Macaca mulatta: one gene and its partners. The main gene of each other region encodes a partner of the protein of the gene in region 2 in a complex. Links are inferred from orthologs where the notes say so. Each region holds a gene or a part of one and is shown on either strand. Other genes may lie near its edges. The genes, in order: NR5A2, NR0B2 and NR5A1.

What was found.
Region 1: the proteins of NR0B2 (region 2) and NR5A2 are in contact, whole or in part, in a crystal structure (PDB 1YUC), measured with the Homo sapiens proteins. The link is inferred for Macaca mulatta from reciprocal best matches to the Homo sapiens genes NR0B2 and NR5A2. Residues at the interface, in NP_068804.1 of Homo sapiens: Arg17, Pro18, Ala19, Ile20, Leu21, Tyr22, Leu24, Leu25, Ser26, Ser27, Ser28; in NP_995582.1 of Homo sapiens: Phe354, Val357, Arg361, Phe366, Val371, Asp372, Gln374, Met375, Leu378, Gln379, Asn529, Asn530, Leu531, Glu534, Met535.
Region 3: the proteins of NR0B2 (region 2) and NR5A1 are in contact, whole or in part, in a crystal structure (PDB 1YMT), measured with the Mus musculus proteins. The link is inferred for Macaca mulatta from reciprocal best matches to the Homo sapiens genes NR0B2 and NR5A1. Residues at the interface, in NP_035980.1 of Mus musculus: Thr19, Ile20, Leu21, Tyr22, Leu24, Leu25, Ser26; in NP_001303616.1 of Mus musculus: Ile275, Val278, Arg282, Phe287, Val292, Gln295, Met296, Leu299, Gln300, Asn450, Leu452, Glu455, Met456.

Annotation. Positions count from the first base shown.
Region 1 is NC_133406.1:57,677,245-57,688,111, reverse strand, and holds the start of NR5A2 (nuclear receptor subfamily 5 group A member 2), read right to left. Parts: upstream 5,161-10,867; 5' UTR 4,941-5,160; coding exon 4,877-4,940; intron 1-4,876. UniProt on the Homo sapiens protein: Orphan nuclear receptor that binds DNA as a monomer to the 5'-TCAAGGCCA-3' sequence and controls expression of target genes: regulates key biological processes, such as early embryonic development, cholesterol and bile acid synthesis pathways, as well as liver and pancreas morphogenesis.
Region 2 is NC_133406.1:214,065,795-214,076,473, forward strand, and holds NR0B2 (nuclear receptor subfamily 0 group B member 2), read left to right. Parts: upstream 1-3,373; 5' UTR 3,374-3,434; coding exon 3,435-3,966; intron 3,967-5,288; coding exon 5,289-5,530; 3' UTR 5,531-5,886; downstream 5,887-10,679. UniProt on the Homo sapiens protein: Transcriptional regulator that acts as a negative regulator of receptor-dependent signaling pathways. Specifically inhibits transactivation of the nuclear receptor with which it interacts.
Region 3 is NC_133420.1:23,288,336-23,298,540, reverse strand, and holds part of NR5A1 (steroidogenic factor 1), read right to left. Parts: intron 5,362-10,205; coding exon 5,242-5,361; intron 3,424-5,241; coding exon 3,276-3,423; intron 1-3,275. UniProt on the Homo sapiens protein: Transcriptional activator. Essential for sexual differentiation and formation of the primary steroidogenic tissues. Binds to the Ad4 site found in the promoter region of steroidogenic P450 genes such as CYP11A, CYP11B and CYP21B.

The DNA of each region.
Region 1 (10,867 bases), about 160 Mb from region 2:
CTCTTGACAAGCTGAGTAAATTACTTGACCTCTGATTCCATTCTTTAAATCAGTAAAATTGGGTTAACAAAGTAAGCTTTATAGTTAAATGAGATAGTGCCAGGAAAGAAATATACTATGCTGGAGATACACACACACACACACACACACACACACACATCTCAGTTCCCCTTTGTCCTGCTTTCCCCTTAGCTTCACTCAAACTCATCATTCTGTAAGAAAACTAAAAAGGGAATCACTAACCATTCTAGGACCACCTTCCAGTGGGATGTGCTTGTTAACTTGATTGTCTTGCAGGACTTGACAAAGTCCTTGGAGACAATTACATTTATCACCAGATAAAACTGCTCATGTAAGTGCTCATGGTCATCTGCATTCAGGTTATTTGGTGTTTAAAAGTTAAACTCCAAATATCTTTTCTTACTTAGCAACCACACAAAAACATACATAACAGCTTCCCAAAAGACTAAAGAAGAGGCAACCTTTATCAACTGGCCTGGTCAGTTTTAGTTCACATGGTTTTCTCAAGCTTGACCTCTCCAGATCATATCGGTCATATTTCAACTCTTCCCCAGGGCCTCCCCAGAGCACAATGCCCTCCAAACTCCTGAAGTTCCTTGAAGCTAACTGGATTTATCTGAGAAGTGTCTTCCAATAAGGTGAAGCGTGAAGAAGTGCAACTCAAAGAACTAGCTTTATCCTAAGGTAGACTCTAGACCTGTAGAGTGAAGTTGTCTTGCCTGCCTAGTGCATCCCTGGGGGTGGGGATTGGGTTGGCCTGTAGGTGGAAGTCTGACAACATGCCCTTCTCTAGCTCAGCTCATGTTCAAGGCTGAATCCAAGATAATCCTAGACATTGTGTCTGGTGGAGGGGTCAAGTAAAGGAGAGAAGCATTAACAAGCCTCTGTTCTCCGTTCCTCTATAAATCTCTCTTGGTTTATTAGAAGAGGTGTTAAAGATGCCGGGTGCAGTGGCTCACGCCTGTAATCCCAGCACTTTGAGAGGCCGAGGCGGGTGGATCACTTGAGGTCAGGAGTTCGAGACCGGCCTGGATAACATGGTGAAACCCCATTTCTTCTAAAAATACAAAAAATTAGCCAGGCGTGGTGGCATGCACCTGTAATCCCAGCTGCTCGGGAGGCTGAAGCAGGAGAATTGCTTGAATCCCAGGAGGCTGAGGTTGCAGTGAGCCAAGATCATGCCATTGCACTCCAGCTTGGGCAACAAGAGTGAAACTATGCCTCAAAAAAAAAAAAAAAAAAAAAAAAAAAAATTCCCTTTTTTTTTTTGAGATAGGGTCTCACTTTGTTACCCAGGCTGGAGTTCAAGGCATAATCACAGCATCCTCGACCTCCCTGGCTCAAGTGATCTTCCAACCTCCACACCCAAGCCCTAGTCACTGGGACTACAGACACATGCCACCACAACCACACACAGCTAATTTTTTTTTTTTTTGTAGAGACTGGTTCTATGTTGCCTAGGCTGGTCTCGATCTCCTGGGCTCAAGTGATACTCCAGCCTCAGTCTCCCAAAGTGTTGGGATTACCAGTTTGAGACACTGTGCCTGGCCTAAGAACTCTTTTAACTCTGGTCACAACCTGTGGATCCAGGCCAGAAAAGAGGAATCTGAGAAGCGCTGTTTTGGAGATGGGCGGGGGCATGGAAAGAAGGGAGGCTCCGGAGTTTAGCTTCCCAGAAGAAACTGGCAGCCTAAGCCTGAGCTGCGAGAATCAGAACATGGGCTTGGGTGGTTAGCATTCTAAATAAAGCTGGCTGGAGGTTAGGGTGACATAACGGCTATCACACTTTCCACTGATGACGTCTACTTTCAGAGATCCTTATGAGCGCAGAGCTTGGTGGAGGTTATCACTGAAATAAAATCAGACTCAGAGTGTTCAGGGGACCAGATAGCAAGCCTCATATTACAGACTCAATACAGTGTTTGCACTGTGTATCATGTACCCCTAAGTATGCAGACATAACCTTCTGTGGATAATATGCAATATTATAATGAATGCATAAAATATTCTGCAAATGCAGTTAATTTGAAGAATTATGGAAATTTAATATGAATCAAAGCACAATATTGGGCACATTGTGGGAGTTGTCAATAAATACTTGTTTCATGTATAACATATTTCCTACCACACAGATAAGGCTCTTTTCTTAATATAGGTAAATATAAAAAGCCTCTAAAGTTAGTACTGCATATTATTCAATAGAATCATCCTATCTGGGAGAAAGAAGAAAACAGAGACGAGAAACCAAGAGTTTGACCAGCGTCCCAGAGTTAGTTAACTTTAAGGGAGCAATCTAGTTATAACCTGAGCGTGCTGCTCTTACACTACATTGAATGATTATCTTGCAGGTAGGCAGAAGGAACAACTTTATCTCAATTCTGCTTTTCTATACAAGCACAGACATCTACACAAAACTTTCATGTAACCATCAGTGTGCATACAAGATGTAGTCCCTAGTTAAAAACCATGGAGTCGCTTTTTAAATAAAACGAGGCCCATTTCCTAGTACAACACAACTGAATTAAATGTAGAATTGTAAACCCTGACTGATGTCTACATACACCGGGCTCAGTTTTGTGAACGACTCAACACAACCCAACTTGCAATTTGCCATCTGAAAGCTACTCTCGAGACCCTCAGTCACTCTCTACAGCTGCACCCGTGGGTTCTTCCCAGTGGGGCTGCCCTGGGCAAATCAGAAAGACCCATTCAAAGAGCATCTCTCCTTCAGGAATCGGGTCAGGCCCTTCAATGCAACAGTTCAGTCTGATGGCTCCTCACCGCCCTCTCTTCCTCTGCCTCAGCCCTTTGGATGGCTCTGTCCAGCCATTCACCCTGGGAACGACGGTCAGCACCCTCCTGGAGGCTACGAGGTTAAACAGACGATCTCTCGGTGCCAAAGTCGCCTCGGGGTCACTAAGATGTTGCAGATGCGGACACCTCACAACCACCTGCGGGGCTGCAATACCAGGAGGCGGAGGGGGTGTGCTTGAGTTGGGAAGGGGCGGGTGGCTGCGAATAAGATCCTGAAAGAGGTCTCTTTTACCGGAAACTGGAATTTTGTTATCCCGGAATCCGGCGCCCGGAAGTGCCTGCACAGGTTTAGGATGTTGGGGTAGGCTCGCTGAGGCCAGGGGAGAGCCTTCTTCGGTACTTTTCTTGAGGCTTAGTCCCCAGCAGCCTCTCATGGGCTGGACCGACAGTCCTCCGGTTCCCAGCCCTCTGCGGTGGGACGGATTCCAAAGCTGCAGGTGTTCTCTGTTTACGCTCAGCGTGTACCCGCCTCGGTTCCTTGCTATGTGAGTTGCGGGTGCGGTCGGTGGAAATACAGTTCTTCCCGGGTTGCAGAGAGAAGTGCAACAGCGTCTCCTTCCCCTACCTTACCCTCTTTAATTCACCCTTGGGGTCTGGGGGAGACAGCGGGGGATCGGCGTGTGTGGTCTCCCGACCCAGCTCAACTCTATTTTGGCAGCGACCAGCTGGGGCTGCGCGCGGCAAGAGCCCAAGACCGCCCGCGCGGGCGCGAGCCCCCGAGCGCGCGTCCCCCGTGCGCGCTCAGTCCGCGTCTCCCGCCCGAGCGCGCTCTAGCTGCGGCCCTCGCCACGGAGCGGGAGCTGCGCGGAGCTGCCGGGAAGGACTCCTCGCCTGCACACCGCGGCGGTTCAGACCGACGAAAAAGATGCGAAATCGTTTTGTGCTTCTCTCTCATCTTTCTTGTGCCTGTATTTTCTGTGTTATCTGCAGAACAATTGATTGTGTGTTACACCCTGCTTGCCTTCCCCGTGTTTTCTTTTTCGTAAGTATAGAACATTTTTGGTAAACATTTCCTCAAGTGATATACTTTAGGGTGTAGTTGGCCCATAAAAAAAAGCAATCACTGCATTCTGTGGAGTCAGCTGACTCGGAAGGAAAAAAGAGGAAAAACTCAAGCCTGGGTTTTTCTTTCTTGTTACAATGGAGCTGAGACTCAGAGCTCATGACAGGCCCCTGCAAATTCGGAGGGAAGTTCCAGTCCGAAAGCCTAGGAAAATGCTACCAGAAAAGACACAGGTCCTTCAAAAACCGGGGGAAAGGCAGAAGGGCATGACTTCCAACAGACAATTACAGACCACTGAGAATCACTTCCCTTTAGTCCTTTACTTTTAGGATTAATTGAATGTAGTCTTGCTATAAAATTCACAAGTTTGTAACTCTATTTTTTAAATGAAAAGTAGCTTTATTTACTTATTTCTGTTTGTAAAAACAAAATATACTAATTGTTGCAAAAAAAAAAAAAAAAAACAGTAGCTCTTAACTTCAAATCCTTTATTAGTGATGGTCTAGTTTTTTGGGTTTTATTTTTTGGCGGGGGGGCATGGCTTTCATTCCCCAGGAAGATAAAATGAAAAGTTTTTACAGTATAAGCAGAGAATGAGACACCATACTTTTGTGTGGGTTGAAAAGTAACAAATACTTGACAGCTATCTGTTAAAGTTTGATCAGTGATCAGTCAATATGATTAACTTGTTTCAAATTGTTCAAATTTTAGCTTATTATTTCTGATTAAAATTATCAGCAAATATTAAAGTTGAAATTGTTAAATTATAAATTATATTTTCTCGCTGTTTAGGCTAATAGAATGCCACCAGTAAACACTAGATATAATGAATAATATTCATATGTTGAAATATTCATTTGCTTTTTTTGAACTGCAAGAAAGATAAATGTGTGATACACATACATGGGCTTATTATGTGCTTTTAATAAACATAATAGGAAAAGCCATGACTTAAAATGCAAAATCCATCAATGAGATTAAATTATATGTATGTACTAGCAGAATAAATAGATGATCAATAGAGCAACTCCTACTTACCAATAGGTGTAAGTCCGTGCTTTAAAGACTCTTGTAAATCCCCAGTATCCGAATTAGAAGACATTCTTAGTGAAATTATAGGCAGTTCTTTGGCCTAAAGCAGAAATCATTGAGCAAAAGAAAAGTGCAGCTTGTCAAATTTCGTGGCCTTGGGAAGGACACATCAGACTACGGTAACCCTTAGTGAAAGTTAAGAAAAAGCAAAGGGAAAAAAAAATCCAGAATTCATAAAGTTACAAGCAAGTCTTTCCCTGGACTCTGTACTTTTTCCAACATTAGTGACCTGCTGTAAACCATGTATCCAGTTTCATGATGATTTCTAATCAGAAGAGTGGAAACTTTTGATAGGCTTTGACTCATCACATGACTCTATGCAGGTTGATAAGAGGACCCTGTTATAAAGTGACAGCAAAAGAGATAAGAATTCTTGCCAGATAATGGCAAAGAAATGATTAACTCAGAAGTGGAGAGGTGCTGTGCAGCACAGAGTGGAAAGTTGTAAAACTGAGGGGTCAGAAGATCAGACTTAGTGGATAAAACTACAAACCAGCTAACTAACTTAGTCTAACTAAACTTTGGCTTGTGACATACCCCTTGATGTCGTCACCTCTTTGCATAGAGGAGGACGGACATAGCTCTTCTGACCTCTGTAAATATATTTTAGATGAAAACATTGGCAGACATTAATTCTTTAAGTGATGACTACAAATGTGATCGACACTCTGAAACACTAGAGGTAGCATTTCCAAGCTTATGGTCATTTATTTATTCATGTTGTGGTCAACCAACTTTTTTATCGGGCCTATTCATTAGATGAGGAGTTAACCTTAGCTTGTTTCTACATTGGTCATATGGCTAAAACACAATCTATCTCTTTATCCCCAAAAAGTAAAACTTATGCTTTGAGATTAATGCTGGCAAACTGATGAATATGTAATAGATTTTTCATAATTATAAAGTTATTATTCTTAGGCCGGGCATGGTCACTCACACCTGTAATCCCAGCACTTTGGGAAGCCAAGGCAGGCAGATCACCTGAGGTCAGGAGTTCAAGACCAGCCTGGCCAACATGGTGAAACCCCATCTCTACTAAAAATGCAAAAATTAGCCAGGCGTGGTGGTGCAGCCCTGTAATCCCAGCTACTTGGGAGGCTGAGGCGGGAGAATTGCTTGAACCTGGGAGGCAGAGGTTGCGGCGATCTGAGATCGTGCCACTGCACTCCAACCTGGGTGACAGAGTGAGACTCCATCTTCAAAAACAATAACAACAACAAAAAAACAAAAAATGATTTTTGTTTTTGAGACAGGGTCTCACTCTGTCGCCCAGGCTGGTGTGCAGTGGCATGAACTCAGCTCACTGCAGCCTCCGCCTCCCGGGTTCAAGCAATTCTCCTGCCTCAGCCTCCCAAGTAGCTGGGATAACAGGGGCGAACCACCATGCCCGGCTAATTTTTGCATTTTTAGTAGGGACGGGTTTTCACCAGGTTGGCCAGTCTGGTCTCAAACTTCTGACCTCAGATGATCTACCCGGCCTCCCAAAGTGCTGGAATTACAGGCATGAGCCACTGCACCCAAATTGGCCAAAATCCCTAATTTTAATATTGACACTCCTTTTAAACTAAGTAAATGCAGGTTGTGTGTATGTGTACAGATAATTTTTAACTCAATATATAAACATTTGTTGTAACAAAACTTCATATATCATTTGATGGATTTAGTAGTCTTTGTCTAAAGATTCACTTTACAGAATTTATGGTCTATTTATTTATTTAGAGATGGGATCTCACTCTGTAGCCCAGGCTGGAATGGAGTCGTATAGTCATAGCTCACCCAACCTCAGACTCCTGGACTTAAGCAATCCTCCTGCCTTAGCCTCCTGAGTTAGGACTACAGATGTGTATCACTACACTTGGCTGATTTTTAAAATTTTTTGTAGAGACAGTGTATTGCTGTATTGCCCAGATTGGTCTCCTGGGCTCAAGCAATCCTCCTGCCTCAGCCTCCCAAAGTGCTGGGATTACAGGTGTGAGCTACCTGTAAACCCAGGACAGTCATTTTTTTTCCTTTTTCTTTTCTTTTTTTTTTTGAGACAGAGTCTCACTCCATTGCCCAGGCTGGAGTACAGTGGCACAATCTTGGTTCACTGCAACCTCTGCCTACCAGGTTCAAGCGATCCTCCTGCCTCAGTCTCGCTAGTAGCTGGGATTACAGGTACATGCCACCATGCCCGGCTAATTTTTGTATTTTTAGTAGAGACGGAGTTTCGCCACATTGGCCAGGCTGGTCTCGAACTCCTGACCTCAGGTGATTCACCTGCCTCAGCCTCCCAAACTGCTGGGATTACAGGTGTAAGCCACCACATCTGGCCCTTTTTTTTTTCTTTTGTTTTTTATTCAGATTATTGTTAGTTATTTCCCCTCTTGCTTCACTTCATGTCAGTTGAAATATAGCATCTGAAAGTGCTCTCCACTACCTTTCAGCTGTGCTGCTGGCTCTGAACCTTGCCCAAGATCAACTTGCCTTTATCAGGTTTGGGTGGCTTGGGGTCTGGGTGACCCCTGAAGTCAGAATCAGAAGTGGCCACAGCCATGACTTGTGGTCCTCTGAGTATAAGAAATGTCCCCAGTTGTATATCCTCACAGTCTCATGAAAGTAAGATTTGGTTGAGTAGACCTGCTCATGGAAGGTGGGTAGTTTCCAAGTGGCACTGGTACACACCAAGTGAAATAACTGGTAATCCTGGCTGTCAGCGGAGCCAGGTCAACTTGCTGATATGCATGCTGTTTTTCCTTTGAACTTTAAGTTCTTATGTACACATAAACAATCCATCCTACTTTTCATTAACACCATGTTAGGTATTATTTTCTTAGATCGATATTTTTCTTTTAAAGAAAAAAAAGTTATACGGTGGATTTTAAAATATTGTTATTGAAAACAATGATTTCTTCTTTGATTTTAGATGGAAACCCAGAAAGGACCTTCCTCCCTCCCTCCCTCCCTCCCTCCCTCCCTCCCTTCCTTCCTTCCTTCCTTCCTTGTTTCCTTGTTTCGCTTTTCTTTCTTTCTTTCTTGACAGAGTCTCACTCTGTCACCCAGACTGGAGTGCAGTGACACGATCTCGGTTCACGGCAACCTCCACCTCCCGGGTTCAAGTGATCCTCCTGCCTCAGTCCCCCTAGTAGCTGGGATTACAGGTACATGCCACCATGCCCAGCTGATTTTTGTATTTTTAGTAAAGATGAGGTTTCACCATGTTGGCCAGGATGGTCTCAAACTCCTGACCTCAGGTGATCCACCCGCCCCGGCCTCCCAAAGTGCTGGGATTACAGATGTGAGCCACTGCACCCAGCTAATTTTTGTATTTTTTTGTAGGGACAGTGTATCACCATGTTACCCAGGTTGGTCTCAAACTCCTGGGCTCAAGCGATTCTCCTGCCTCTGCCTTCCAAGTATATGGAACATATATTTCTATGGATATATTTTGCATCTGTAACTGCTTTGAAATACGTAGGTCTTCTTTTACACATGCCAAAGTGTTGGATACATATTTCTTGAGGCCTTTCATATCATTCAGTCCATAAAATTACATTGTCCATCAGATCCTCTCAATGCACTGGTTATAGCTCTAACTGTTTTCCTGAGGAAACCACTCAGTTTTGGTTGCTGAATGCAGCCTATATAAGCACAAATCATGAGATCATGGTAAGAATGAAGGCAGGGTAGCAGGGTGGTTAAGAGCCTAGGATTTGAGGTCAGAAAGCTCAGGGCTTCCATTTGTGCTTTGCCCCCTTCTCGGTGGCAAAGTAATGCTTGGCTTTTTTTTAAGCCTTGAATTCCTCATAAGTAAAAATGACAAAAATGATGAAATCCAGTAGTTTTTGTGGTAAGATGTAAATGAGAAATAAAGTACTCAGTGTCATGTCAGAGAAAGAAAGCACTCAACGTGTCATCAAAAGTGAATATGGAGGCTGGGCGCAGTGGCTTACACCTGTAATCCCAGCACTTTGGGAGGTTGAGGCAGGTGGATCACTTGACGTCAGGAGTTCAAGACCAGCCTGGCCAACATGGTGAAACCCTGTCTCTACTAAAAATACAAAAAATTAACTGGGCAAAGTGGTGCACGCCTGTAATCCCAGCTACTCAGGAGGTTGGGGCAAGAGAATTGCTTGAACCCAGGAGACGGAGGTTGCAATGAGCCAAGTTCATGCCACTGCACTCCAGTCTGGGCGACAGAGTGATACTCCATCTCAAAAAACAAAAAACAAAAAACAAAAAAAAGTGATTATGGGCTATGTGACTTGGGATCTTAAGTGAAAGACACATCTTCCTTAGTGGAATTTTAGAAGACATACTAAAGTTTCTGTTTTTGGGTTTTGTTTCTGACACCAATTCTATCTTAGTCACGTACACTATTAGAGACCTTATAGAAGACCTCATAGGATTCATATAATTAAACAGCACCATAAAGTGATTTGTGGCTGGGCACGGTGGCTTAACACCTGAAATCCCAGCATTTTGAAAGGCTGAAGCAAGAGGTTCACTTGAAGGCACGGGTTTGAGACCAGCCTGGGCAATATAATGACACTTCATCTCTTAAATAATAAATGAAATAATGATAAATAATAAGGAATAAGGAATAAATAAGTATTTATTAATAATAATAAATACAGGCCAGGCACGGTGGCTCACACCTGTAATCCCAGCACTTTGGGAGGCCGAGACGGGAGGATCACAAGGTCAGGAGATCAAGACCATCTTGGCTAACATGGTGAAACCCTGTCTCTACTAAAAATACAAAAAAATTAGCCAGGCGTGGTGGTGGGCGCCTGTAGTCCCAGCTACTCGGGAGGCTGAGGCAGGAGAATGGCATGAACCTGGGAGGCAGAGCTTGCAGTGAGCTGAGATTGCACCACTGCACTCCAGCCTGGGCAATAGAGTGAGACTCTGTCTCAAAAAATAAAATAAAATAAATAATAATAATAATAATAATGAATACAAATAGTAAAGTGATTTACTTTTCTTCTTGTCCTTTCTGTATATGGTTAACAAAGCATGTAACAGCACAAAGATTGAATTTCATGCTATACTGTCTGCCTCTAATCAGACATAATTGTTTTTAAGAATGTACAAAAAATTGGGAATGGTAGTATTACCAGCTTGCCTAATAACTCCTAACAGAATCTTTAAAAGATACTATTTGCGATTTGTCACTCTCTTGCTTTCCTATAAAACTCACTGGCTTGTTGAGGAAACATTATATTAATGAGTTACTTTGGTCCTTTGAAGCTTATCCATCAGGCTGATTGAATAGAAATAGGTACTCAGTACTTTGTGAGAAATGAACATATTTTTCTGAAAGTGAGGCTAGAGTAATGTTCACATGTGGTACAAATAACAGATGCTTGGAACTCAGCCTCAGTGACAGTTAACAAGCAATTTATGTTCTGGCCATGCTGTGGGGAGGACAAAAAACAAATCACACCCTGAATTTTTGTGTTTATTTTTTCTCAATCAAGGTATCATCTGACCCTTTCCATTTGGCAAGTGTGGGCATTTTCCATTACAACATTCTGTTTTAAGTACCTTCACTACCTCACTTGATACCACAACATAGAATACTTATAATGACTCACATTTACAAGAATATGTTTATAATGATAAAAAATATTTGCTAACAGATTTCAGAAACGATTTGTAAATTATTGACAGATAACTAATGACTCTAAGGCATCTTTGCCAAAATCCAAAAAGTATTCAACAATGTCACCTGAACCCATATTGCATGATGATGTTAAAGTGTAGTTAATGAATTACAGTCACTGTAAACTTCCTGACAACACTATTCCAAGACATTATGACATATCTATTAGGAATTGATATTCCTGCAAAATTGGATTTATCATGAACCCCTTGCATGAGCAAACTGGAAAGGCCCTTTCAGTATGTTTATAATATGGGTTTATTAAGAGCAAACACCTTAAAATTTTCATC
Region 2 (10,679 bases):
AGAAGAGACAGAATTTCACCATGTTGGCCTGGCTGGTCTCGAACTCCTGACCTCAGTTGATCTGCCTGCCTTGATCTCCCAACGTGTTGGGGATTACAGGCATGAGCCACCATGCCTGGCCCGATTTTTATTTATTTATCTATTTTTAGTCAGGGTCTCATTCTGTTGCCCAGGCTAGAGTGGAGTTGCATGATCACAGCTCACTGCAGCCTTGCCCTCCTGGATTCAAGTGATCCTCCCACTTTAGCCTCTCGAGTAGCCGGAATTATAGGTGTGCACTACCTGCCTGGCTAATTTTTGTATTTTTTACAGAGATGGGGTTTCACCATGTTTCCCAAGCTGGCCTTGAACTCCTGGGTTCAAGCAGTTCACCCACTACAGCCCCCAAAGTATTCGGATTACAGGTGTGAGCCACCGCGTCTGACCAGTTCTTGGTTTTTTAGTATGATTCTAGTGCCTACTTCATGCTTTCTAAATATTATTTTCCACTAAAAGATTGAATCAGAGCTCTTTGGAGTACTGGTTGATTCCAGCGGCTGGAAAAGTTGATATCTTGTTATACAAGAAAGCAAATGTTCCAGGAATTATGGAAGCAGGCCAAAATGACATGGACCCCAGCTTAAAAGGGTTCCCATTGACCAAATAAATATAAATATTCAGGGTTTGGGGGGAGGTTTTGTGTGTGTGGGGAGGTTGTTTTGTTTTGTTTTTGTTTTTTAGACAGAGTCTTGCTCTGTCTAGAGCAAGGCAGGAGGGCAGTCGCACAGTCATAACTCACTGTAGCCTTGAAGTCCTGGGCTCAAACCATCTTCTTGCCTCAGCCTCTCAAGTAGTTAGGGCTACAGATATGCTCCACCACACTGGCTAATTTTTTTTGGTAGAGATGAGGTCTCACTGTGTTGGCCAGGCTGATCTTGAACTCCTGAAGCCTCAAGCGATCCTCCCACCTCAACTTCCCAAAGTGCTGGGATTACAGGCGTGAGCCACCGCGCCCGGCCGTGTATTCTTTTCTTAAAGAGGATCCTCCAAATTGTAACCGTCAGGCCCCATAAAACCAATATCCACCTCTAGATATTCTTGTCATCATTTAAAAAATGAGGAAACTGAGGCACAAAAAGAGAAAGTGATTTGCCCAAGGTCACTCAGCTAAGTGAAGAAGCAGGATTTGGACCCAGCCAGTCTGACTCGAGTCTGCTTCAAGGGGACACTGTGAAGATTCAGTGAGATTTAAAGACATGAAAGGAACTTTATAAATTTAAGGATTAAGACTAATAATCAAATGAAAGAGGTATGCCTGTTTGTCCACTGGTGCTCAGCTCCATAGAGGAAAGGGGCAGAAAAATCCTTCTACCATATGGCAGAAACTACTTGGAATTTAACAACCAGGACCTCATTTTGTCCCCATGGCAGCCCTAGAGGCAAGCATTATTGTCCCAGTGAGGCTCCTGAGGCTCATCGAGGTTCAAGGATCAACCCAAGTCACACAACTGAAAAGTGATGGATTCTGGAGCAGATGCCAGAGCTGGTGATGCCAGAGCCTCTCTCTCCCCATCCAGGGCACCAGGCTGCCCAACAGCATGCAGCAGAAGGTTTGCCACGCTGGACTGGCCAAGGTCCAGAAACATGACACAACCAAGGGCCTCTCCACCTTCTCTCATCCCCGGTGCTCTACCATCTGAGAAAGATGCCCGGGACAGAGGAGCCACATGGCAGCAGAGCAACATTTCTGCCTAGATCACAAGTAGGCAGAGCAGGCTGCAAAGCAGGCAGCAGCAAGGTGGGGGCAGCTAGCCACAAGCTCAGAGAATCTCAGGCTCTGGCTGTGCAATTGGGCCAATGGGTCCAGGGGAACAAACAAGGACTTTGGAGTCAGGCAAGATCTGGGCTTGGTCTTCCTGGTGGGATGACCTTGGGCAAGTCACTTTAACTTTTTTAGTCTCACAAAGTAAGAATCTAGCCTTAGAAGGAGGCTGCCAATATTAGAGTGGGAAGTGCCTGACACATAACAGGTGCTCAGAGAATGGCAACCATATATATATATATACACACACACACACACACACACACACACACATTTTTTTTTGAGACAGGGTCTTGCTCTGTTGCCCAGGCTGGAGTACAGTGGCATGATCTCAGCTCACTGCAACCTCTGCCTCCCAGTTTCAAGTGATTCTTTTGCCTCAGCCTCTAGGGTAGCTGGGACTACAGGCACATGCCACCATGCCCGGCTAATTTTTGTATTTTTAGTAGAGACAGGATTTTGCCATGTTGGCCAGGCTGGTCTTGAACTCCTGACCTCAAATGATCCCCCTTCCTCGGCCTCCCAAAGTGCTGGGATTACAGGCATGAGCCACCATGCCCAGCTGGCAACTATCTTTTATTATAACTCTGTGAGTTCTTCTCAGCAGAACTGGACTTTCAGGAGTGGTAGGAATCAGGCAGGGAAAGGCCGGGCGCGGTGGCTCAAGCCTGTAATCCCAGCACTTTGGGAGGCCGAGACGGGCGGATCACGAGGTCAGGAGATCGAGACCATCCTGGCTAACACGGTGAAACCCCGTCTCTACTAAAAAAAAGTACAAAAACTAGCCGGGCGAGGTGGCGGGCGCCTGTAGTCCCAGCTACTCGGGAGGCTGAGGCAGGAGAATGGCGTAAACCCGGGAGGTGGAGCTTGCAGTGAGCTGAGATCCGGCCACTGCACTCCAGCCTGGGCGACAGAGCAGACTCCGTCTCAAAAAAAAAAAAAAAAAAAAAAAGGAATCAGGCAGGGGATAGGGATTCTGAAGGACCTTATTCCTGCAGGGGGCCCAGAACTGAAACCAGAGGAAGGGGGCCTCCGAGACTGGACAGCGGGCAAAGTCCTCCCAGCCCCCCCAGGGTCCTGGCTCCCTTCCCTGTAGCCTGCTCCTGGCCGACAACAGAAGCAGGGCCCCAAGGTTAGGCAAACAAGCTAGTGATAAGGCACTTCCAGGTCGGGCCTTGCATTCAAGGCCCACCCAGCTCTGGGGCTGACTTCCTGGCTTAGCGAAAGCGCTAGTCTTTTGTGCACACAAGAGCAGGCACCAATGGGGACACCTGCTGATTGTGCACCTGGGGCCTTGGTGCCCTGGTACAACCTGGGTTAATGACCTTGTTTATCCACTTGAGTCATCCGATAAGGGGCAGCTGAGTGAGCGGCAGGTGGCCCTGTGCCCTGCACCGGCCACTTCATTGACTGAAGTGATATCAGTGCCACGTGGGGTTCCCAATGCCCCCTCCCCCACCACTTCCCCACCATTCCTGCCAGGGGCAGTGTCTGTGTGTTTTTTTCAATGAACATGACTTCTGGAGTCAAGGTTGTCGGGCCATTCCCCCCCTTCCACTCACTGGGAATATAAATAGCACCCACGGCGCAGAACAGAGGGCCAGAGAGCTGGAAGTAAGGGCAGATCCCAACCATGAGCACCAGCCAACCAGGGGCCTGCCCATGCCAGGGAGCTGCAAGCCGCCCAGCCATTCTCTACGCACTTCTGAGCTCCAGCCTCAGGGCTGTCCCCCGACCCCGTAGCCGCTGCCTATGTAGGCAGCACCGGCCCGTCCAGCTATGTGCACCTCATCGCACCTGCCGGGAGGCCTTGGATGTTCTGGCCAAGACAGTGGCCTTCCTCAGGAACCTGCCATCCTTCTGGCAGCTGCCTCCCCAGGACCAGCGGCGGCTGCTGCAGGGTTGCTGGGGCCCCCTCTTCCTGCTTGGGTTGGCCCAAGATGCTGTGACCTTTGAAGTGGCTGAGGCCCCGGTGCCCAGCATACTCAAGAAGATTCTACTGGAGGAGCCCAGCAGCAGTGGAGGCAGTGGCCAGCCGCCAGACAGACCCCAGCCCTCCCTGGCTGCAGTGCAGTGGCTTCAGTGCTGTCTGGAGTCCTTCTGGGGCCTGGAGCTGAGCCCCAAGGAATATGCCTGCCTGAAAGGGACCATCCTCTTCAACCCTGGTGAGCTCCCAGACACTCCTGGGTAGGGGGCAAGGCTGAAGCAGGAGCCAGCCAGGGAAGGTAACTTCTAAGGGTTTGATATCTGTAATCTCATGGGGTCCACATTTTCTTTTTTTTTTTTTTTCTGAGACAGAGTCTCACTCTGTCACCTACTCTGGAGCGCAATGGCGCGATCTTGGCTCACTGCAACCTCTGCCTCCTGGGTTCAAGCAATTTTCCCTGCCTCAGCCTCCCAAGTAGCTGGGATTACAGGTGCCCGCCACCACTCCCGGCTAATTTTTGTATTTTTTAGTAGAGACGGGGTTTCGCCATGTTGGTCAAGCTGGTCTTGAACTCCTGATCCCTCTGGTGATCCACCCACCTTGGCCTCCCAAAGTGCTGGATTACAGGCGTGAGCCACTGTGCTTGGCCGGTTCCTCATTTTCATCAAATAGCCATCTCACAGAAGAGGTACAGAGAAGCTAAGTGACGAGCTAAAGGTAACACAGCCAGGTAGGGACAGACCAGGATGGCAACTCAGGTCTATTCACTCCAGAGACTGGCCCTTGCCACTCTGCCTGAGAAATTTGCTCTGACCTTTAGAGAAGGCTGCGGGGGAGGTGGGGTGGGCAGACACAGCTGTGTCTCAGTCACATCTTCAAAGGAAGGCTGCATGGTGAAGCTCTAGAGCTGAAACTCCTCTGTGGGTTCAGAAAGATCACTTAGAAGAGAGAACTGAAAGGGGTGTAGGGAGGACAGGAAGGGAGTCTTTGTGGAATTTGGCCAGGAGAGTGGCAGATGAGACAGTGCTCTTTGTAATCTGGAGAGCATCTGAGATGAGCGTTCCCCAGGAGTCCCTGTGGCACGCATAAATCGTAGTAGTTAATTGCAATAATAGTAGCAAATACTCATATCACACTTACCATATGTTAGGCCCTATTCTAAGGGTTTTACATATACTAGTTCATTTAAATCTCATAAAAACCTAGGAGACAGGTCCTATTAATATTATTATCCTCGTTTTACAAATAAAGAAACTGAAGCCCAGAGATTAAGTTACTTGCCCAAGGTCACCCAGCTAAGTGACAGTACTGGGATTCATACTCAGGAAACCTGATTCTTAACCATTACTCCATACTGCCTCTTCATAAATGGATGGATGAATACAATGGAAATTGATAAATAAATTACCTCCTCCAAAGGAGGAGGTAGTAGTGGGACCTCAAAGGCCGAGCAAAGGAGGCAGAGGGGTGTCTCTGATGGCCCAGATCTTGGGCCAGTCTCTTCCTTTGGTGGCTGGGAGTAGGATGCTCACCAACCCTCTTCTCCCTCTCTGCCCACAGATGTGCCAGGCCTCCAAGCCGCCTCCCACATTGGGCACCTGCAGCAGGAGGCTCACTGGGCGCTGTGTGAAGTCCTGGAGCCCTGGTGCCCAGCAGCCCAAGGCCGCCTGGCCCGTGTCCTCCTCACAGCCTCCACCCTCAAGTCCATTCCGACCAGCCTGCTTGGGGACCTCTTTTTTCGCCCTATCATTGGAGATGTTGACATCGCTGGCCTTCTTGGGGACATGCTCTTGCTGAGGTGACCAGCTGCAGCCCAGGCAGAGATCAGGTGGGCAGAGGCTGGCAGTGCTGATTCAGCCTGGCCATCCCCAGAGGTGACCCAATGCTCCCGGAGGGGGCAAGGCTGTATAGACAGCACTTGGCTCCTTAGGAACAGCCCTTCACTCAGCCACACCCCACATTGGACTTCCTTGGTTTGGACACAGTGCTCCAGCTGCCTGGAAGGCTCTTGGTGGTCCCCACAGCCTCTGGGCCAAGACTCCTGTCCCTTGTTGGGATGGGAATGAAAGCTTAAGCTGCTCATTGGACCAGAAGTCCTACTGACTTTATACAGAACTGAATTAAGTTATTGATTTTTGTAATAAAAGGTATGAAACACTTGGAGCCTGATACTGTTGTTTGTGCATATAGAAGGGACTGTCTCACCTCCAGGGCCCACCCTGCTCCTATCAGAGGTAGCCCAAGGGAAAAAATCCACAGGGTTGCTGGAACTAATTTTCCAGGGAACAGTATCAGTTCACAATCCCATCACCTCATTGCCTTTATCCTCAGGGGAAGGAGGTTGCTCTCCTGTTCCCAAACCCTTCACTAACCACTCTCCTGGCTCCTACCCACTTCATGCGCCCTCTCACCACAGTTAAAGCCCAATCACAGCCAATCAGGAAGCAGTCCATTCCCGAATTGAAACAGACAAGGTCACTGCCATTTCTGCAGTTTAAGATCATTCACTTCCCCCATTCCTGCAGATGACAAAAGACGGTGGTCCATTATTTTCCCAAAGGGAAGGGACAAGGGCACCCAGGGCTGGCCTGGCAACTACTTGAACGCCAAGGCAGAGCAAGGTTTAGCTGGACCACCAGGATTTGACTACATCAGTTGTTTAAGTCTGAAACCCTTCCAGGACACTTGGATCATAGCCACCACCCTGAGGCCTCCCAACTTTCCTTCCCTGCCCCTCTGCCCCAGCCCCTCTCCTGGGATTCTCCTCCCAGACATTCCCACTGTCTAACAACTAAAGAGGCAACTCTTGGCATAGCCATGACCTCCCTGACTGCTCCATTCAGAATATGACTTGTGTCTATTCTGATTGGTCAATGTCTGTGCCTCACTGTTTGTTAAATATTTTGACCCAGTCGCCATGGGTAAGGGTGAGTGACCTGAAGGGTGGGCAGGAAGGAGTGATAACAACACACATGCCTATAGGATTTTCTGGCCTCCCCCTTTCGCCAGCGGTAAGTCCTGCCCTGACCAGTCCCCACCCCCTTCACCATAACAGTTTGGATTCTTCTCACAGGTGCCCAGTTAATGATTGCTCAATAAGAGGCCATTCACTTGGGGATAAGAGTCTAGGTGTCATCATTCAGGCCTTTCTCTAAGCCCCCCAGGTTAGGACGACAGCTGATTGGCCTCGTACCCATTATGGTGACCCAGTGCCAGCAGCAAGGGGAACCCTGTCCCTTGCCCAGCCTCTCACTCACAAGTCAGACACCAGATAGAGACAAAAACACAGCTGAGATCTCACACAAATACAAACAACACAACTTGGACCCCCCCAATACACACACACACTAAGATGTACAACTCAGGCACGCCTACACAGACCCAGAACACAGACTCTCCAACCACCCACTTACAGCCCAGAAAAGCACTGCCCAGATACAGTCACTCAGCAACGTACTGCAGACCCTGACACAGTCACACAGCACAAGTACGCACCCTTGCACCTGAGGGTAGGGCACACAGTGTGGAGACACCCCCATCCAGAGTGTGTTCATCTTCCCCATGTCACAGGAAAGGGAAAAGTGGCCCCCTAAGTAGGCAGACCTGTGTCTGCACATCTTCAGGGTCCTCTCAGAGCCTGTGAGCCCAGGCCAACTGCTCTGCCTGGCATTTGGGACCCCAACTAACCATTCATCCTCTTTCCCCGTGGTGACTTCAATGTCCATCCTCCTCTCAGCTCAACAACTGTCCCCAGCTGGGACCAAATCAAATCCCCAATAAAGGCATCCTTCAGGGCCCAGAACAAGTCCTGCATCCCCCCATCTCCCACCAGATGCCCCAAACTCAGACCTCAGGCTCCCGGGCCTCTCTCTACCTGCCCTCCCCATCCCTCTGGCACACATCACCCTGTGTAACCTTGTAGACGCATGAAACCGCTCTTTCAAGAGCAGAAGCCCTGTTTCCCACATAGGACCCAAATCCAGAAGATTCAGGGATTTAGGGTCATTCTTTTTTTTTTTTTTTTTTTTTTTGGAGACGGAGTCTCGCTCTGTCGCCCAGGCTGGAGTGCAGTGGCGCGATCTCGGCTCACTGCAAGCTCCGCCTCCCGGGTTCACGCCATTCTCCTGCCTCAGCCTCCCGAGTAGCTGGGACTACAGGCGCCCACAACCGCGCCCGGCTAATTTTTTGTAATTTTTAGTAGAGACGGGGTTTCACCGTGGTCTCGATCTCCTGACCTTGTGATCCGCCCGCCTCGGCCTCCCAAAGTGCTGGGATTACAGGCGTGAGCCACCGTGCCTGGCCCGATTTAGGGTCATTCTACATCTTTTATGCCCTGCCAGTTTCTGCCTCTATTAATTAACTGCCACACCTCTCTGAATCCTCCCACCTCTGAAAAAAGCTGGATCTTCCCACCTCTTACCCTTCCCCTTCTCTAGCCCTGAACAACCATTAGGAAGCATTCCCTGCCATGCCCCACCCTAGGCTTTTTTCCTCAACTTATTTAATTTTTTCCGTCATCCAAATAGCTTCCCTTATTAAGTCTACCTTGCCAGGCACTACTGGTGGCTCATGCCTGTAATCCCAGCACTTTGGGAGGCTGAGGTGATAGGATCGCTTGAGCCCAGGAGTTCAAGATCAGCCTGGGCAATGTAGTGAGATTCCTGTCTCTACAAAAAATTATAAAATTAGCTAGGGGCCAGGCACGGTGGCTCACACCTATAATCCCAGCACTTTTGGAGGCCAAGACAAGCGGATCACCTGAGGTTGGGAGCTCAAGACCAGTCTGGCCAACAATGGTGAAACCCTGTCTCTACTAAAAATACAAAAATTAGCTAGGCATGGCAACACTCGCCTGTAATTCCAGCTACTTGGGAGGCTGAGACAGGAGAATCAGTTGAACCTGGGAGGCAGAGGTTGCAGTGAGCCGAGATCGCACCACTGCACTCCAGCCTGGGCGACAGAGTGAGACTCTATCTCAAAAAAATTAAAAAATAAGGCCGGGGGGATCACAAGGTCAGGGGTTCAAGACCAGCCTGGCCAAGATGGTGAAACCCCGTCTCTACTAAAACTACAAAAATTAGCCAGGTGTGGTGGCAGATGTCTGTAATCCCAGCTACTCCAGAGTCTGCGGCAGGGAAACCGCTTGAACTGGAGCAGCAGAGGTTGCAGTGAGTCGAGATTGCACCACTGCACTCCAGGCTGGGTGACAGAGTAAGACTCTGTCTCAAAAATATAAATAAAATAAAATAAGCTAGGTATGGTGGCTCATGCCTGTAGTCCTGGCCACTCGAGAGGCTGAAGTGGGAGGATTACTTGAGCTGGGAGTTGGAGGCTGCAGTGAGCATGGTAGCATCACTGCACTGCAGCCTGGGCAACAGAGCAAGACCCTGTCTCAAAACAAATAAAAAAAACAACAAGAAAAATCTCTACCTTGATCCTTTTCAAATTTCTTCCCTACCAGTCCACATGGTTTGGGAGCTACACTTCTGTTTCTTGTCTGCATTTCTTGAGTCATTCCCCGTGCCCTACTTCCTTGCCTTGAGCAAAGAACATAAAGACAAATACGGCAAAACTAAAGAGATAATTATGGTACAATGTAGTAAGGGGAATTGTGCTTTCTCCATGAGACTGTAGGCTTTCCAAAAGTGGGGAAGAATGTCTCCATGATCAGCATCCTGGGTTGGGATCTGTATCTCATTGCTAATGAGGGAAGAGGAGGAAACAGGCTCAGATGGGTATGTAACTTAAGGTCTGGGCTGATCACTGTCTGTGCTGAGACTCTTTTTTTTTTTCAGACGGAGTTTCGCTCTTGTTGCCCAGGCTGGAGTGCAGTGGTGCGATCTCCGCTCACTGCAACCTCCACCTCCCGGGTTCAAGCGGTTCTCCTGCCTCAGCCTCCCGAGTAGCTGGGATTAAGGCGCCCACCACCAAGCCTGGCTAATTTTTGTATTTTCAGTAGAGACAGGGTTTCATCATGTTGGCTAGGCTGGTCTCAAACTCCTGACCTCAGTGATCCACCCACCTCAGCCTCCCAAAGTGCTGGGATTACAGGCGTGAGCCACCGCACCTGGCCTGTGCCGAGACTTGTACTCAAACCTGTGTAATTCTGGAGGGTTCTTGTCAGCAGCACAAGCTGGAGTGAGTCATGGCCAGGATCAGGCGGTCTGGAGCCAGTTCAGCCACTGTTGACTGACCATCTACCTCTCAGCCATGATTCCTGTCCTCAGGCCCAGCCAGGGATGACTCACTGGAAAGCAGGAGAGTGGCTATGGCTCTGGGTCAGCCTAGAGAACCATTTTATTGCCATCATTATCTCTATCTTCATTAGCCAAATCGTTGACTGCCTATTAAGCAGTAAGACAGCTGACGCATGCTGTGCCCTGCATTAACCCCACCCTGTCCTTGGGGCATTCAAATATCCTAGAACCCGTGATGCTGGCAAAAAGCCAACACCCACTATCCATCCATTAATTCATTCTATCACTCAACATCTCTCAACCTCCACTTGTACCAACCCCTGTGCTAGATGCTGGGGTAGGGGGCACAGAATAAATAAGATACATTTCTTACTCTCATGAAACACCTTGTCTGTGGCAGAGGAAGACACATAAGTAATTGTAATGCAGAGTGATCTGAGCTGTGATAGGGGTACAGACAACAGGCAACAGGACAGATTAAATCTGCCTCAAGGTGGGAAAAATGCTTCACCCAAGTGGTGACTGGTTTGAGCTAAAGAGAACAAATAGGGTTTTGCTAGGCAACCCAAGGGATGGACATTCCAAACAGATATATGCAAAGGCACAGAGATGTCAGAGAGTAAGGGGTGCTTAGCTAACTGCAAGTGATGTGTGGGGCCCAGGGTAGCAGGAAATGGGCCTGGAGAGATGACAGGGACCACCTCACAGAACAAGACAGCACAGAAAGGAAGTATCAATGAAACCGATGGAGGCG
Region 3 (10,205 bases), on a different chromosome or scaffold from region 2:
AGCTGGAGGTCTGCTGGCAAGCGGCGGTCCCTCTCCGGGTCCCAGTTTCCCTGGAGCCCCAGCTCTGGTGGTCTGGGTGGGATCAGGAGAGGAGCCCTCTGCTCCAGACCCTGGAATCTGCTCCAGCCCAGCTCCAGGTCTAGCCTCTGCCAGGGCTCTGGGCTGCCTGCCTGCCATCCTTTTCCCATGCTGCACTTAGAAGGATCTTGATAAAATGCAAATTTCATCATGTTGCTGGCTGCTTCAAGTCCTTCCCAAGAGAAAGTTCAAGGTACCAGGCCCTGGCATTCAAGGCTTTGCCCAGCTCAGCTCCTGTCCCCTCGCCAGCCTCCTCCCCACCCCGTCCCCACCCCTACAGCCACACAGAACTTTCAGGATTCCCGGAACTTTGCACAAGCTGTTCCTTGAGTCTGGAAAGCCATTAATGCCGCTTGTTTTTTTTTTTTCACCCAGAATGCTCTTACTCATACTGCTAAGCCCAGCTCAGAGCCCCCACCCCCCAGAAGCCTTCCCTGATAGCCAGGTGGTGCTGGTTTCTCCTCTCTGACCCAACCCTGATCACACTGAACTGATGGGGTTCCTCTTCCAACCTGGAGCTGGCCAGCCAAAGGCCGCTGCGGCCCCCCACACCCCTTTCTCACTGCTTGCCATCAGCTGGGGTCCTGGAATCTCCTCCCGTTCCTTCTCTGGTACCCCCAACCTCACCAGGTTCCTGGCTTGCTGGGCTCAGGGCTCACCCACCCACATCAGCCAGACTCATGTTCCTGTGCGGAAAGATAACGCACTGTGCCAGACACACAGCCGGTGATAACGATAGAGACTGTGAACATTCATTCACTTCATTCATTCACTTATGCATATGCACACTAACTTAATAATGGTGATTATGATTAAAACAATTCTGGCACATACTTCCCAGGGCTCAGCCAAGCGCTGGGCACTTTGGGGAATTCTCTTACTCAATCCTTGTAACAAGTTAGGGATTAGTAGGAGGGTCACTCTACAGATGGGGAAATAGAGGCTCAGAGAGGGGAGTGACTTGCCCAAGGGCACACAGCCAGAAAGAGACCAGAGGCCAGATTTAGAATCCACTCCTCATCCCTACCTAGTTCCCTTTCCTAAGCACTGCGCCACCTTGATTCTCACACACACAGCACGCATGCGCACACACACACACTTCTCCCCGCAACTCAGCCTGTCCCAGCCCAGCACTGGAGCCTCTCCCACCTCTCAGGCCTCAGCTGCTGCATCTGGAAAAAAAAAAAAGCTGATGACCAGCACGACATTAGGGCGGGGCACTTCCAGTTTTGAGCATGCCCACACTTGGACCCAAGAGAGGAGGGATCAGCTCTGCCATCTTCCTTAAGCCCCAGAGAAGGAGGAGTCCTGGATTCACCCCCAGCGGCGGCCAGAGCTATGCCCAAGGCTTTGGTGGGAAGAGGGGCTGGGGGCCAAGACACTGTCCCTGCTTTTCAGGGGACACCCAAGGACAGACAGAGCCCACCCTCCACCCACCCCTCCTTAGGGCCCTCCCAGTGGCCTTGTGATGGCAGCCAGGTCAAGAACTCTCACCGTACAAACCACCCAGACTCCTGCGGACACACACTCCAATTCTAGGTGCCTCCAAGCACCACTCTCCGCCACAAATCCCTCATGTTCCCAGATCTCCTGGTCCCTCCCCAATCACACACAAACTCTTCACACAGCCTAACACTTAAGAAACCACAAGCGTGTGAAAGTTCGTCGTTTGCACATGCCAGCACACACACATGCGCGGAAACAGAGACAGACGTTCGCGTAATTCCTGCAGGTTCCATGCCCCAACCACACAGACCCCCGCCACGCATGTCTGTGACTCTATCCTGTGCCAGCCTGCTGAGTCTGGCAGGCTGCGGGTAAGGTGCTGCTGCCGGCAGAGGTAGGAGGGAACTTCCCCAGCTGCAGCCAACCGGGTCTGGGCCCCTGAGGCTCCTGCAAGGATTTCAGGCCATAGCTCCTGCAGAGCCCTGGCTGGTGTCCTGAGAGGTGGCTTAAGGTGGCCTTGCAGATAAGCCCTCCAGTTACCAGCCTGTTCTGCCAGAGTTGGGAGACCCAGCCCACCGCACCCAGCCGCATAGCATGGAGGATGTCACCAATCCCGCCCGAGCACTGGGCTTCCCACTTTTCATTAATCCCCTCTGCCTCCGCAACACTCCCCACTCCTCCCTCTCTCTGGCAGGCACGCCCTTCCCAGACTGTGACTATAATGCCAGCCACCAAGACAATATCTTAATCCTGCCCCCTCTCCAGGTGATGAAGCACTCACTCATCTCTATTCCATCGCATCTGCATCACTGCAAAATAATTCATCCCCCAGAAAACTCCTATTCATCCTCCAAAACCCTGCTCAGATGTCCGTCTTCCAGGAAGCCTTCCAGAAAGAGCTCTTGCTCCCCACCCAGGGTTCCCCAAGCCACACCCATCTCTCTGTCTCAGGCCTAACCACCCAGGCTGCAGGTCTCTTCTCGATTGGCAAGGGACAGCTATGTCCTCAGCATCGCCGGGTATGGGGAGGGCATTGGTGACGGCTTGCCAGGGAGTGAGGGTGCAGACTGGAGTGCCCAGGCAGGGTTGGGGTCAGGAGGGCAAAGGGAGGGAGACCCCCCCAGGTGCTTGGGGAGTGGGGTGGGTGGCCGGGCTGCACTGGGCCAGGACTGCTCTCTGCCTCTCCTCCACTTTCTTTTCCTCCTTAGCACTGGTCACAGCTGTCCCCCTATGCCTGCCTAATCGTGTTAGGAACCTACGTCTTCCTAATCGTATTATGCTCATGATCCCCCCTAGAAAGGTCAGCATCACGACGGCTGGGCTTTGGGGGTTTTGCTCACAGCGGTATTCCCAGTGCCTTCTCCGGTGCAATTGCTCGGTGCCTGTTTGTAGAGTGAATGAATGGATGCATGCGTGCATGGGCAAAGGGGTCCGGGCCCCCAGGAGCTACAGTCAGAACTGGGGCCCCCTAGATCCAGGAATTAGAGAAAACAGGGACCCCAGGAGCCTGGAATACCAATCCCAAAGTCACATGGGCCACCAGATGGGGAGCCGTCCCCATTTAAGAGCCAGGCCCTGGCCGGGGGCCCTCAGACCTTTGTTCACTGAATGAGTAAGGGAGGGGCCTTTCTCCCCTGAGGCTCCTTTGTGGCCACTCTGGCCCTAGCAGGGCTACCTTTCCAGCCTCACCCACCCTCCCACCCGCCTGCCCCTGGCTGTCTCCGCCTCTCTGTCACTGGAGCCGCACTCACCCAGGCTGAAGAGGATGATGAACTTGAGGCAGACAAACTCCTGCCGGTCAAGCTGCAGCGCGAGCAGCTGCAGCACTAGTTCCTGTGCCCGCAACACCAGGCTGTGCAGCAGCGAGCCCGCCTGGGTGGCCACCGTGGTCAGCTCCACCTGGGGACAGAGGGCACGGGGTGGGGGACAGTCAGAGGACGTGGGTCCAGGCAGGGGGCTCTCTGATGGTGGATAGAGGGCTGAGGGCATGGATTGGAGGTGCAGGTCAGATGGGCTGGGGTCAGGAGGGCCCAGCCTTGGCACTGAGCCAGGCACAGGTGACACCTGTGCAGCCCCGGGGACCCTGCCGGGCCCACCCTTCCAAGCTGTCCTCAACCCGCCAGGCCCAGAGCTGAGGGTACCCACGTCCTGCCCGCGTCCACCCCTCCTTCACACACAAACCCCAGCACCAGGCCCAGTAGCACCAGCAGTTCAGAGGGGCCCTCTACACGCTGGGAGGGAAGGGGTCAGGGGAGGGCAGGCCTGCGCAGGGACACACAGACGCCATCCACGTGGCTGCCCAGAACCCCTACGTTCACACCTAGATGCTGGGTCACAGTTCAGCCCAGGGTCTCACGCGCGCGTGCACACACACACACACACACACGAGCTCAGTCATGGGGTCGCCCACTCCATGAAGTGAAGGCACACACATGTGCACACGGCCACACCCGCCCTTGTATGCTCACACTTACAGCAACACACACGCCTATGTATGTGTTCACAATTACGGGTTGATGGGAAGACAGTGACACCCACACACTGATGTGTGTGGAGATTTTGCACAATAAAACACAGGCAGGCACACACACACAGGCCATTCCCATGGCCACAGAGACTCAGCCGGCCTGCCGACACTCACACCGCATGCAGACTGCAGGCACCTGCGCCCACAGGGAGCCCCAGATATACCCTCTTGGGTCCAGTGCTGCCCGTCCTGTCCTCCTGCCCCTGATGGCCTGTGACACCAAGGCGAGAGCTGGAGGTGAGGAGCAGAGGCCTAGGGGCGCTGGAGCAGTGAGCAGAGTCTGTCTCCCCCACCCCACAGCACCCACCGACCCCACGGTCCCTCCTGTGTCCCCACCTGGGAGTGACGCTCCTGCCAGCAGGCTGGACCCTTGCCATCAACCCCCTTCTCTGCCTCTCTCCCTCCCTCTCTTTCCCTACAGCCCGTCTCCCCAGGTGAGTCCTCTTCCCTGGCTGTGTCCCTGTGTCCCCGCCCTGGCCCCCACCTCCCATCTGACCCCTCTGCCTGCCTCCTCAGATGCTACCTGGCCATGTCCCTCCTCCTCCTAAAGCTCTCCCTGGACCCCTGCTGCATCTGGACTTTCTACTTCCCAGATCCTCATTTCCTGCTCTAAGGGGCCCAAATTCTCTGAGCTCTCAGGAGCCCTTTGCCTATTCATTCATTCATTCATTCATTCATTCATTCATTCATTCAAGATTTAGGGCCTGCAAGGTTTTGTCCGCTAACTCAGCCCTAGCAACCCTCCAGCCTCCCTGGTCTGTCACCTCATGCCACCCCATACCAGCACCAGCAGGGCCTGGGGGCTCCACGCTTCCACCCTCTCTGAGCCTGTGGTGGAGGTGAGGACTGCCCCCCTCACCCCAGCCAACTCCAGTGGATTATTTCCAGACCCAGGGCCACCATCACATCCTCCTCCATGAACCTCTTCTGACCATGCCCACACCCCCTGAGCTGCTCCCCAAGAGCAGGGCTCCCAGCAGCCGGCGCCTCTCAAGCCTGGACCAGGGCTGCTCGCAGAGGGGTCAGACCAGTGGGTGCCCCATGAATGTGGGGAAAGGGCTGATAATCAGGGTGCCCAGAGTGAGCCCCAAGAGGCCTGGGTCCTCCTCTCCGAGGCCCTGAATCCTGGAAGTGCACAGCGGGGCCGGGGCGGGGCCCAGGGGCGGGGCGGGGTCCCAGGGGCTGGTCACCTCCTGCCCGGTGACCAGCAGGATGCTGCCCTCCTTGCCGTGCTGGACCTGGCGGTAGATGTGGTCGAACACCAGCAGCTCGCTCCAGCAGTTCTGCAGCAGTGTCATCTGGTCGGCAACCTGGAAGGAAGAGGCACGCGGGGGGCCGGGCTCCAGCCAGGGTCCAGGTCCAGCCACCTTCTTCTAACCCCTTCTCCTCCCACTGAGACCCAACTGGGCGTGCGGCCGGGGCGAGTTAACCTCTCTGTGCCCATCTACCCGAATGTCTGTGCTATCAAAGTGCAACAGGGGTCTGGCCAGTTAACAAAGGGGTGTTTGGGGCTTGAATGGGCCAGGCTTCAGGCCCCAGCTCTGTCTTCGGTATGACTTTACATAAGTCCTGGTAATCTTCTGTGCCTCAGTTTTCTCATCTGTACAGTGGGCAAAGTACTGAGCGGACAGTCCGGTACATGTTAGGTACGCCATACATGTGACTAATGTCCATGGAGGTACTCTGCAAAGGACTCCTACAAATGCATGGCAAGATTATTATTAATTTTAACATTGTCCGCATTTAAAAACCTGTGGTCAGTTACACCTCTGGCAGCCCCAACTGCTCAGACAGAAGCCATGAGGAAGAAACCAAGCGCTTCCCCCCAGGCCTACGCAGAGCTCTCAGGCTCAGGAGAAGGAGGGAGGTCCCACCTGGCCTGCGGTCAGGCCCAGGGCATGAGCAGGGGGGCGGCAATGGCCTGGCACCTGAAGCAGAAACGAACAGCGACAAGGGGCAATTCCGAATGCCCAGGCTGCAGCCAGAGGCACTCGGTGCAGGGGCAGGGCCAGCCCCTGTTTGGAGTGTCCTTTGACTCTGCAGGACTCAGAAGCAGAGCCAGGGATCCCCTGGCCCCAATCCCTATTTTTCAACTGAAGAATATGCCACCCGAAGAGGACAAGAGACTCTCCCAGGATCACACAGAGGCAGGACCAGGCCAGGGCCACGGCTGGCATTCCTGGTCCACAATCTCCACTGTGACAAAACGAGCCCTTCTGGGTATTCGGAAGCACACTGAGCACTGCACATGGGCCTGGGCAGACATAGCCCCATCCCTCTTAGCCTGTGCCACTCCTCAGCTGGCCACCAGCGACCCAACAGACACTTCCGGCGCACCTTCCTGGGCCGTGCCCTCTGACGAATGCAAACCATGACAGCGAACAGTCATTCCACCGCAGCCCTACAGCCCTGCGAGGTTTGTCCAGTCACCACCCGCATGACAGAGAGAAGAAACTGAACAGAGAGGCCACACAGCTCTGTCTGGTTCCAGATCTGCGCTCTTAACCACTAGCTGTGGAAGAGGACCTGTCACTCACCCGCCTTGCCATCCAGGAGTTCCTGGTCTCTCGCAGGCTCTTTGCCTCCTCTACAAATCCCTACCTCATCCCTCTCCTTCCTCGAGGCCCTCCCCACTCTCTGGATGCAGAATCTGCAACATCTCATGGCATCAGTTAAATGCCTCTGCCTTCGCCAATACCTGTGAGATCTGGGGAGGCAGAACTGGTGTCCGGCTCTTCTCTGGGCCCCAGAGCAGAGGTTAGAGTGGCTGATGAATGGCAAGGTTCTCCCCAAGACAAGCACAGAGTGCAGAGGGATCACTCCCCACCTGGGGCCAGGGGCTCAGAGGGGCCACTCCCCACCTAGGGGTGGCTCCCAGTCAGAGGGGAGCTGGCCCAAGCCTAATGAACAGGAGATAGAAGCCTCCCCCCTCCTCTCTGTTCCCCTTCTCTCCTGGGGCCTCCCTGGGGCCTGTGTCCTCAGGCAGACAGAGGGGGAGAAAAGGAGAGGGAAAAGTCAGGAATTGGCACACAGACCGGCCTGCGGGCCCACGTGGTGGAGAAGAGGGAGGTCTATGTCCGTTCCCTCCATCCCCATCTCACCTCTGGGTCCAGAGCTCCCTCCGGCTCCCAGCAAAAGTTTCTTTCCAGAGCCCCTACCATGGGCCCCCAGGCTCAGTCCTGGCTGGGTCCAGGAGAGACTGAGGCCTGGGCAGGGGCTGACTCAGCCATCTCTCCGGATCTCTCCACGGAAGTGCCGGCCCCCATGGAGCTGCGGTTTCCAGGAGGGAGCCAAGGCTCAGAGAGCACCTATTACCAGACACGGTGCCCAGTGCGGTACAGGACACCTCACCCCTGCCCTGCTGACATTCTGCCCACATTACAGATAAGGAAACACAGCCTTGCCGGAGGTGACACTCAGGCTTCAGGCAGCTGGGCTCTGCCCAGAGGTTCCTACCGGCCAGGACTTCTGGGGACCCTGGGAACCTCCTGAGACCCGGATAGGAGGGGCCTGCCCAGGTGTCACACTGGCAGCAGGAAAAACTCAGGCCCACCTTGGGTACCCAGGTGGTCGCACAGGGCCAGGCTTGGCACCCCACCCCTCGCAGGCCCACAGGAGCAGACACCCTTGCGCCCAGAATGAAGGCACAAGGGGGTGGGGAGGTGGCGGAGGAGCGATAAGGGGTAGAATGAGGAGATAAGCCACGCTTCAGGCCAAAAGCAGATGGGTCACGGTGACCCGGCTGGCCCAGCCCTGGGAGCAGACTCTGTACCCAGACCTTAGACCCTGGATGGGGCAGGCCTGCCCGGTGGGGCTGATAGGGGTGCCAGGGGCAGAGAGCCACAATATTGTCCCTGAGGCTTTGGTGCCCCATGCCCTGTGTTCGAGTCCCCATCCAGCCATGCATTGTCCACCATGCATCCTCCACCCTAATTTCCTGTTCTGGGAAGAAGGAAATATAATTTCTCTTTTTTTTGGTTAAAACGTAAGAACACACGTTGGGCTGTGTGGGAACTGGTGGACCTGCTGTTGGTTCTTCCGTGGATGCTCCCTGGCTGGGATCCCACCTGCCCCTTGGCCAAGCAGGTCTTGACTCACTGCTTTCCTTGGGTGGACAGATGGATGCACAAAGACACCAAACTCCAAAACACTCCCCACACAGATAAGAACGCGCACGCACGCATGCACACACATACACACACCCCTCTTTTTATTTAAAAGAAAACCACAGGGCCATAGCTGCCAGACCCTCTGCATGAGAAAGCAGGTGGCTAAGAGGTTCCTTTAACCAGAGAGGGTTGGTTTTCACTTTCCGAAGGTCCCTCCCTACGCTAAAGGCTCCTCTACCCTCAGGCCTCCTTGCCACCCTGGGAACAAGGACATTTGCAGCCCCAGCCCTGGGGTCTCCACCAGCATGGCCTGTCTGCTGGGCCCATCAGCCATCCATCCCTCCTGCCAGACTGCCACAAATCTTCCTGGAGCCTTGGCGCTCTGCAGGCTGCCTCGAAGACCACGTATTTATGGGTGCCAAGCTGACCTCCCTCCCAGCAGGGCCCCTCTGGAGCCCCCTGGGGTCCGATCGGTCTGGCTGTGAAGGCCGGCAGGCTGTGTAATTCTCTGGTGGCTGACACACCGTGGGCTGGCCGCCGTGCTCTGCCGGCCGAGTGGTCAGTGAGGTGTCATTTGTCAGCCCAAGACTGACAGTTACTGCCGCTTAAATGAAACCGTCTATCTGGGCAGTTAAATCTGCTGTCAGTGGGGGCCTCGGAGCTGGATGTTGAGGGTGAACAGATGTCAAGATGGGTCACTGGGCACTCCTGGCCCCCACCGCCCCCCCGGGTCCTGCCTTGCATCCTCCCAGCCTGTCCTTTGCGGTAAGTGATCATACAGGCTGACTGCCTGGGCCCTGGACACTGCTGCCCACCAAGCAGCAGGTACAGGTGAGTTTCTGCCACCTTGCAGGGAAAAAGTTGCTTTATAAGCGCAGGACAAAGTGGCCCCAAGACGGTCCCGGAACAATCGTGCGCTCAGAGGAGCTTGGGTCCAATGTGTCTCTCCCTGCTGCTTCCCCGCCCAGGCCTGCATTAAACAGTGTGGCTAAGGGGAAGAGAGGAAGGACGCTGCGACCTCACTTCGTAAACTGCCCGCGCTCAGTCCTTCCCCTGTCCTGGCTCACTAACCCCTTACAACAGCCCAATGGGTGGACATTATTTCAACTCCTCCCATTTTCAAGATGAGGAAACTGAGGCCCAGAGGAGTGAAGTCACTTGCCCAAAATCATACAGCATGTAAGCGACAGAGCTGGAAGTTGACAATAGGCCTCTCTGATTCTAGTCTTTGATAGTCACTTCTGTGCCACTATTGGATCTAACATGCTGGGATTGTGTGCGATGGAAAAATGGAGACAGAGGGACCCCCATCCCAGTTGGGAAAGAAGATATGGGAGGAAGATCCCAAGAGGGCATTTAGAGCCCAGCATCAGACACAACTGGGTCCCTGGCACCCCTGAGAGCTCAGCTGAGACTCCAGGACTCCTCCCGAGCAGCAAGATGTCATCAGCATCAGAGGGCTGAGTGGGCCTCTGCTCAGAGTCCAGGCTCTGTCAGGGGAGCCCCTCCCCGACCCAGAACCTGGAGCCCCAGCCAGCCCCAACAGGCCATCCATCACCCACTGCCCAAGGACCCACTCCTGGTCCAAGCTCTGCTCTGGCCCTGCCAACATCTCCAGCCCTGCTTCACAGGCCCATTGGAACTCCCAGAACACGATGCCTCTTCACATTTTGGGGCCTTTGCCTCTGCTGTGCCCACTGCCTGGAATCCCCTGAACCTTCTCTACTTTCTAGAAAGGCACAGAACTGTTCTTTGACTTCCTTAGAGCTGTTTGCTCTCCCCCCGGGGTTCCCTCTGCCTCTTCTGTGGCTCTCAGAGCCCTGGGCACCTCACACTGGCATTATCTCGGTACATGTCTGACTTCTCCTCCAGGTTGGCAGCTTCCTGGGTCCAGATGATTTTAATGTCCCCAGTGTCCAGCCCAAGGGTTGCTCCACTCTCAGAGCCAGAGAGCCCCCTCTTCTGTCTGCTAAGATGTGCCCTGTCTGGAGGTGGGGAAATGAATGATCAGCCAGAAGGGACACCAGAGTCACACACTCCCCTCC